Coturnix japonica: one gene and its partner. The protein of the gene in region 2 interacts with the protein of the main gene of each other region in a pairwise test. Links are inferred from orthologs where the notes say so. Each region holds a gene or a part of one and is shown on either strand. Other genes may lie near its edges.

Evidence for each region.
Region 1: the proteins of ESRRG (region 2) and PNRC2 interact in binary tests that used the Homo sapiens proteins (3 or more experiments, as listed by UniProt). The link is inferred for Coturnix japonica from reciprocal best matches to the Homo sapiens genes ESRRG and PNRC2.

Annotation. Positions count from the first base shown.
Region 1 is NC_029538.1:4,928,280-4,932,860, reverse strand, and holds the start of PNRC2 (proline-rich nuclear receptor coactivator 2), read right to left. Parts: upstream 3,019-4,581; 5' UTR 2,889-3,018; intron 2,687-2,888; exon of another isoform or gene 2,629-2,686; 5' UTR 2,423-2,628; intron 1,731-2,422; 5' UTR 1,713-1,730; coding exon 1,287-1,712; 3' UTR 1-1,286. Other genes in the region: FUCA1 (tissue alpha-L-fucosidase), read left to right, coding at 4,552-4,581. UniProt on the Homo sapiens protein: Involved in nonsense-mediated mRNA decay (NMD) by acting as a bridge between the mRNA decapping complex and the NMD machinery. May act by targeting the NMD machinery to the P-body and recruiting the decapping machinery to aberrant mRNAs.
Region 2 is NC_029518.1:17,817,469-17,821,280, reverse strand, and holds part of ESRRG (estrogen-related receptor gamma), read right to left. Parts: intron 2,424-3,812; coding exon 2,154-2,423; intron 1-2,153. UniProt on the Homo sapiens protein: Orphan receptor that acts as a transcription activator in the absence of bound ligand. Binds specifically to an estrogen response element and activates reporter genes controlled by estrogen response elements.

The DNA of each region.
Region 1 (4,581 bases), on a different chromosome or scaffold from region 2:
GCATTGATTCATTTTAGAAACAAACATTTTAACAATACTTCAGTGTCATCAGACTCTGTTCTTGGTGTTGCGATACATCCAAGGTGATTATCAGCACGACATCCAGAGCAGAAGTATCTTAAACTTAAGCACTCTTCAAGATTTCACTACAAAATTCTAAATAATTATCTTTTGCACTGCATTTATTTAAAAATCATCCCATGACCACATAAAATGTACACATTCACTGTATATTAAGTCCAAGGCTACATCTATAAATGTCCTTTTGTGTTTAACAAAATAATTCTTTTCTTTTAGATCAGGCCACGTACTCAGCATGGCCACCTTCCATTTACCACTTTTGTTCTAAAAATACCTCTATGCAGGAAAGTCCAGCATAAATTTACATATGCTACAAAGTATTACACTTATTTACATGGCTCTCTTTTCCCTATGAAAACATCATATACCTACATAAGATACTGTAACTTAAAGTAATTGTAGAGTAACCAATTTAAAGTTATAAGTAACTACTCTCCAGCTTTCTCACAATTACAAAATTATACAAAACAGGAAAAAAAAAAGAATTTAGAACTTATCAGTGCATCAGAATACAAAGAATTTGGGGAATTTCTGGCAGTCACCTGGCAATGCAAAACGTGTCATTAACTGGCAGTCTAATTTGTTGAGGTTGCAATGAAATACTGCTGGAGCTGGAGATACAGACTTCTTTACTGTGTTCTTCCACCTTTTTTCAAGAACATGTAGAAATGTTTCTTAAAACTAAATTTTAGTCACAAGCTTGAGTGTCAGATCTCAAAGGTCTGAAAAAAAACAAATCCTCTTTGCATTTTCACTAGGAATTGCTGCTCAGAAGAGTTTTAACTAGAAAATCTGATAAAAGGTGAAAAGGCAAAGGCAGAGCACCTCATTAAAGCTTGCAGAGTGTTTGTTTTTTCCAGTTAATGCTGCATCAAGTTCAGCAAAAGTTGGCCTTCCAATGCCATTAACAAGGACTCTCAATTCCAATTTTTAGGGACAGTCCCATTAACTCTTACAGTAAATGGTGACAGTCTAGGATTTAATCAAATTAATGTAATAGCAAAATCAAGAAAGCACACAACTTTTGAGGTAAAACATTGGGAATGTAAGCGTCCCTACCTGCCTCCTTCTCTTCCAACTACATGCAGCAAGAACATTTAGTCCTGTTACCCGTGCATCTGCACTTCTGAATAGCTAGTCTCAAAGTTGGAGCCTGTAAATTCAAATAACTAATTGATAAATCTTTTATCATTTAAAGTTCCATCTCAAGCCTGGACTTTTAGCAATGTTTTAAGCTGAAATGTCATTATTTCTTTATCAGAAGGTTTAAAAGAAACAGGCACCCAGTGGCTTGGTGGCTTGGGAAGAACACTTGGTGAGGGTGGTTCACTAAACTTTGCTCCTGCATAGTTCTGATTGGTCTGAGGTGAGAAAAATAGGTTACGGTTTGACAGATCAGGACTCCAATTTTGATTACAGGGGAAATGAATGTTGTTCTTTCCTGCCTTCTGCATGGCCTGCCATGCACCAGACAAGGAGTTGCATCCATGTCCTCTTTCTTTCTTCATACAGGTTTTCTTCATCTGTGAATTCTGGTCTTTATTCTTCTGCCTGTTTTTAAGTTGTTGATGGTTCTTGGTAATATTTCTAGACTGGGGAACTGGAATGCTGAACCTCTCTCCGCCACCCATTTTCAAGTTAAATGTCACCTGTAAAGAAAGGGAAAAGTTTGTATTTTTCTTTTCCTTTTTTAAACCCAGGAAAACTGAACTACAGTGCAATGTGTCTTCCTAGTGGCAGATACTCCCTCTAAAATGGCTTAACAATTCTGCTGCTAATGGCTGATCTGCTGGTCATCGTGCACTGATCCATCCTTCAGGAACTGGATACAGACCAGTCCTTCATCAATACACAGCTCTGTCTACCTATTGATGAAAAAGCTGCTCCTCTGCACAGCCCAACCACTGGACGTGCCACTAATTCCCTCCACAAACTGCACTAGGAAAATGTGAAAGGTGCACTGTTCACAAAACAACGTCAAATGAAAGGGTTAACACTGAAGACATTTAAACCAAGCCTATGTTATACTTAGAGAGAAATCTGCACGGATAAAGGCATGCCCCAGTCTAACAAATACTACTTTTAACTGCTGATATTCCTAAGCAGGTACAGTCAGTGAAGGCAATGTAGGCATGAGATACGTTCCAGAGCAGATTTTTCTGGCAGGAGATGAGGAAGCAGCACAGATGTGAGCACAGCTGTGGGACACGAGTTAAAAACCACAACTGAACTGAAAACGTTCAAGTGTGAAGCAGCCGTTTGTAAGTGGACCTGAAAGAAAAGCCAGGCGCTGTCACGGCTGTGTCCCCTGAACCATCCCATCCCTGCACATCTCAGTTACCTCTCAGTGGCCGTTTCCGACTCCACGCTCTCCAATCCTCGCCCCCTTTCTTGCTTCCAAGCCTGCAATAGCAGGTGCTGCCTTTCGCTGCTCTCCTTCCTTTGGCTCCGGGCGCAGGTTTTCATGGGCCGATCCGCCGTATTCAGCCAGGCAGCCGAAGCCAACATCAGCTTCTCGGCACTAAACTCCAAGGGGAGAAGTCACAGCTGCAGGAAGAGTCTGGAGTCAGACACGGGGAACAACTTTTCCCCTTCAAGTTTGGAGCTACAAAAGAACGTTAGAAACGATGGAATTCACACAGATCCACGCCCCGACCCCAACAATGGCGTCACGAGCACAACATGGCGGCACCCGGCCCAACCGCAGCGCCCCGCCTTTACCGACTGCTGTCCGCTCCGTACACACACACACAACACAGACACACACACACAGACACACACACACACTCAGGCCCGTCCGAACCGACCCGACCCGCCGCTCGGTACCGTCACGTCCCGCCCCGCCGCGTCCCCGGCCCCACACAAAATGGCGGCCGCTCCCGTCGCCTTTTATAACCTCTCCCCCTCTCCCTTCTCCCAAGTCGCCGCTCTCCAGCCAATAGGAGCGCGCTGCGTACTCCCCGCAGCCAATGAGAGGCAAGTTTCCCCCGTCGGCGTGATGGGGCGGGGTCCGGTTCGAATCCCCGCAGCGCGGGAACCAACGGCGCCGCCCCGCGGCAGCTCGGACCGGCTGCGGCTGATCCCTCCCTCCTTCCTCCTCCCTCCCGCCGTTCTGCTCCCGCCGTTCGTTTCCCGCCGTTCTGCTCCCGCCGTTCGTTTCCCGCCGTTCGCTTCCCGCTCCCTCGTGCCGTTCTGCTCCCGCTCCCGTCCCCGCGCTGGCTGCAGAGCAGGAACAGCCTCAGGCTGGAGCACAAGCAGTTGGACGCGTTGCGGGCTGAGCGCTCGTTCCCCCGCGCCGTGGGTGCAGGGCGCAGCTCCGGCCGGGCGGGGGCGGCCGAGCAGCACGAACCGCACGAACCGCAGCCGGCACCGCGGCCTCCAGCAACGGGGCCGAACCCGCCGGGTCTGGGGCCGAACTGACGTTCCCGCGTTGTGCGCGGACCATAAGCGCTGTGCTCACCTTATGGCACCCGCTTTGTGTTCAGGGGGTTTCCAGTCTCCCCAGCACAGAGTCACAGAATCAGAGTCATTAAGGTTGGAAAAGACCCCCGAGATCATTGAGCCCAGCCGCCCACCTACCACCAGTATTTCCCCACCAGGCTGTGTCCTGTGGTACAACATCTAAACATCTCTTGAACACCGTTGTAATGTTCTTTGGACACTGCGTAAATGCGGGTATGGAGAATTTAAGACAGTCCTGGGAAAGCTGTGTGCAATTCAGAGACGTCAAGGTGCCGTTTGTTTAAGAGATGCCTTGGTTTGGGTGGCAGCGATTTCTGAGGGAGATTTGGGCACCTGAGGAGCTCCCTGGTGAGCTGAGATGGGTCAAAACCCACCTGGCTGCACAGTGCACCCGTCTGGGGAGACAAGGGCTGTCACTGAATAATGACATTGAGAATAATGACATAATGACTGCTGCATTTGTGATGTCCTGCAAAGAGCTGCAGGAAGCATGGGATGCTGAGGTTGGAGTGCAATCGCTGTGGTCCTGCTGGTTGCCCCAGAACCTGACGTAAGAGAGGAGCAGCTTGTTGCAACGCTAAGCCACATTTCAGCCCAAAGTCCAGGACTGCTCTGCTCCAACATGCCAAGAGACGCAAATCGGGATCAAAATGCTCCGGGTGCAACAGAAAACGCTGCAGCTGCCAATGTTTGTTCCCCAGTGAGCAGCTGGGAGCAGAGTGTGGGGTCAGGGCCTCAGCGGGTTCTGCAGCACATCACGGGCTGGTCGGTGGGTGTCACAGCTGCTGGGAAGCACAGAACAGCAGCAGTAAGAAGTGGGCGCTCAATGGGGAGGGAAGTAATGGAGACAAGTACGAACACCCTCAGGGTGCGGGCGGTGTCGGGACACACCGCGGGGCAGAGGCGGGTGGGGGCAGCACGTCGCGCAGCCCCGCAGCCGGGAGGACACGGCCGGGCACCCGCAGCTCCGCGCTGTGATGGCGGCGGCCGCGTGACGTCATCGTCATCATGGCGGCGGGCGGGCTGCTGTGCCTGGCG
Region 2 (3,812 bases):
ATACTCTGCATGTGCTGTCTTACCTCTACAGTTTGGGGCAGCTATAGTTGACAGAAGTTTGATATCTGCCTCATGTGCAACCTGGACCTGCACTATTTAATGCCAGCCATCAGAGAGCTCTGTTCAGAGGGAAGTCAAACAGCTGGTTTGCTTTGTAACTCCTCTGTGCAATAGTTTCATTTTAAAACAGCAATTTTAGTCCTTTGCAGATGAGGGAAGGAAATGTTTTCCCTTAAATGTACGCGAAACGGTATTTCTCTCTGACATTATCCTGGTTGTAATTCCCAGGGAAGTTAATGAAGCCACGGATTATTTTAACACACTCCATGCACAATGCATGAATAAACTTTTTTGGCAGCAGTGTATTTTATTATTGCTTAATCACTGCACGCCTCTTGAGGAAAAGAAAAACCAATAGGGCTGTGAGTGGTATTTAACACTGGATTCCCACATCCCAGTTCCCTTCCTCTTCATCAAGTAAGATACAGAAATATTTCTAAATCAAACAGACCAATGTAAAAATCGGGAAAGAAACATAATAAGCTCCCAATTTAGACTCCTAATTCCAGTTAACTTTATTGCTCTGCTCAATAAGCACGAACAACCTTGGGAAAAGCCCTTCCTGTAGCTGCAAAACGTTCTCAAGTGTACACTTACAGTGGTCACTAATTGTAAATAGATCCTCAATTACAAAACAACTCGGAGCTTTGAGGGACATTTCAGATGTTTTCTCTTCTGAAAATAAAATGATATTCTAATACCAGGGACAGAGTCAGTGGGGTGGAGAATACAAAGAAACTAATAAGCATTTTGGCTTTGCATGTTTTTGAATTATATTTCCAATTAAAAATGCAGAGTGCTAAATCACATTACAAAGACAAATAGGAAAGTACAACTTCATTGTTGAAAACAATTTCCCTCCTATCAATCTGAGGATTCATGCATCAATATTGTAGATGAACTGTTAATTACAAAATCAATTAAAAAATTATTTCTAAAAACAGTCACGCATCCTGGCTCTCAGGGGGGCAATTTGGGCAGAAGGTCTCATCTCACCAGGACCGCGCCAAATCACAAGTCGTCATCCACAAGTAAGCAAAAGCAATCTGGTTTTTCATTTTTCAGCGCGGCTGAGCCCAGCCTGAGATTGATCGTCACATATGGCCCCAGAAAACAAACTGTCAATACCTTGAATGCTGCAGAATTTGAACAAATAGCCGTCCGCCCATTCAAGCCACTCATTGCATCCCATTTAACAGATTTTATTGACAGTTTCCTTCTTGTAATTAAAGGGAAAACTACTGGCCAGCAACCAAGATAAAGTTCAAAGATAGGGTCAAAACAAAAGCAGATGGAGGGGCACGGTGTGACTGTCAATGGAACATAGCATCAGAGCATGTTATTGACACACAGGTATCTAATGATCGGCACGTCATTAAAGAGGGATCTATCGTGAACTTTATGCAAATGCTAAAAGGGACTTAAGACCACAATAAAGCATTAAGGAGACACAAAAGGAAAAACAACAAAGCAAAAACGATTTTTACTTATCTGGCAGTATTCACTGCTTCAGCACTTTTAAATTCAAATGCAGAGGGGAAAAAAGAATCTTTCTGAGATTTTTAACCCTTTCTGCACAGGTAACAGTAATCTTTGGAGAAGCATCACCACAAATGCAGAGGATCCAAAAGGTAAAGTGGGGTCCCTGTTGGATTAACAAAGAATTTCCTCCCCTCTCCCACACCCTGAATTCACTCTATCTTATAAGTCAGTAGCTGCATTTAAAGAGAATGGATATAGCATATCCTCATGTATCCTTTCTGTTCATTTTAACTACTATGATTAGACTCGTCTGGATTATGGAATGGATTTAGGAGAAGAGCATCCATATTCATTTGTAAGGATCTTTGCCTGTAAAATAGTCTCCAAATCACACAGTGCATTACACTCCCGCTCCCTTAGGAGCGTACTCCCTGATTACTTAGGACCAGAAAGCTCCTCTTAGCTTGAACTGCATTGTTTGTTGCCTGTTAGACTAAGGGTTGATTAGCAACTTCTTACTCTAAACCTGTATTTAAAACAAGCATGCAGAAAGTAATATGGAGAAAAGTGACATATTAAAAATGTAGCAACCACGGTGCCACTCTGCCAACCTGAATTAGCAAGTGCTATAGCCTTGAGGGTGACAAACTCTTCTTTCTCCAGCTTCATGCTCTTGTATTTCTTTACCAGTTGCAGTATGGCATTGTTAAGGTCAAGAAGGCCTGCCAATTTGGACTGGTCTTCATCCATAATATAGTCTTCAGCATAAACAAGCTCATCCTCAAAAGAAAGTGACCGGTATACAACACCGAGAATCAAAATCTCCATCCAAGCACTCTGCAGAAGGCTCATCTGGTCAGCTAGAGACAAAGTAGAGAATCCTGAACAGGAAAAAACAAAACACAACAAAACATAAGAAAAACTATTAGGCATGTTTGGATTTGCCATAAGTCTGCTCTTCTACTTATTTGTACATGCACTGTGGTAAAACATATATTTATTATTCTCACTTCCGATTTTGTGTCTCTCTTCCTCACTTTATTACAGTAATCAATGCAATACGTAATATTTTCTAATCAACACACACAGTTGTAAACAAGTGGGGTTTTGTAGAAGCTTTCTGTAAGAATTGTGTTAGTTTGGGGAGCATTACAGTAACAGTCTATGATTTGTACTGTGTCTTCTTTGCTCTGAAATACTCATGCTTAGTTCCATAATCCCAATGCTGTGGAATTGGGATTTCCTGACCCTGTTCATCTGTACCACAGTCCATGAAGGATAACTTAGGAGGGGGGAAAAAAAAAGAAAGGGAAGATTTGGTGTTTTAATAGAATTAAAGTGATGTGCACAAAGAGGAAATTTCTCTTTGAACTTTAACCTCAGGGGAAAGAGAAGTAACCCACTCCTCAGAAAAGATGCTAATTCCTTCTGCAACAGCTCCTGCCTCTGCTGCACTTGTTGAAAGAGCAGAATGCCACATAATGGTGCCAACTGAACAGCAGTCACACTGTCCTTTTTCTGAAGACAAGCAAAAATTTAATAAATGCCTCTTAATGAATTTAACTTTTGCTTTCTTTTTCATTTCTTTTCTTTCTTTCTTTTTTTTTTATTATTATTTTTTTTATTTTTATTTTTTATTTTTTTTCCCATGCTGTTTTTCCTAATAGGATCTTGTGGGCTAACAGCTTTACTGCCTTACCTTTTCAGCCACTTGTTTACAGTACCTGTTAATTTCTGATATCAAACTGCTAATAACCCGATCACATTAGGAGCTATGAACAAGAGGGGAGAGGATGTGATTTCCTGGCCTGTTGGTGAGCTGCAGCAGTTTGCCAGTTGGCACCAGCAACCACGAGTACTTAATAAAATCATCAAAGGGGATTAGTCAAGCCTTTCTTAAAGGGTCTTAAGGCATGTCTGAGGCTTTCATTTACTTGTTTATGGAGCTGCTTACATGTTCTCTGACAGGGTTCCTGCTGCAAGAACATTCTTTTTGCTATTAGATTACACTTAAATGCATTTTTCTGTTTTGAAAGTCAAGAGTTATAGTCAAGCAGGAATAGATCATAAACCAGCAAGTCTGCATGGCATCTACTCCAAACAAGATTTTCTCTATAGGCACTAAGCAGCAGAAGTAATGCAATAAAAAAAGACAACCTCACATCCAAACCACCAAGCATCCATAAAAAAATGAGATATAAAACTGGCTGCATGCTTGCTCTCTCTTTTTCCTCCCCCTAATTTGTTTTCATTTTCTCATATTCTTTTGA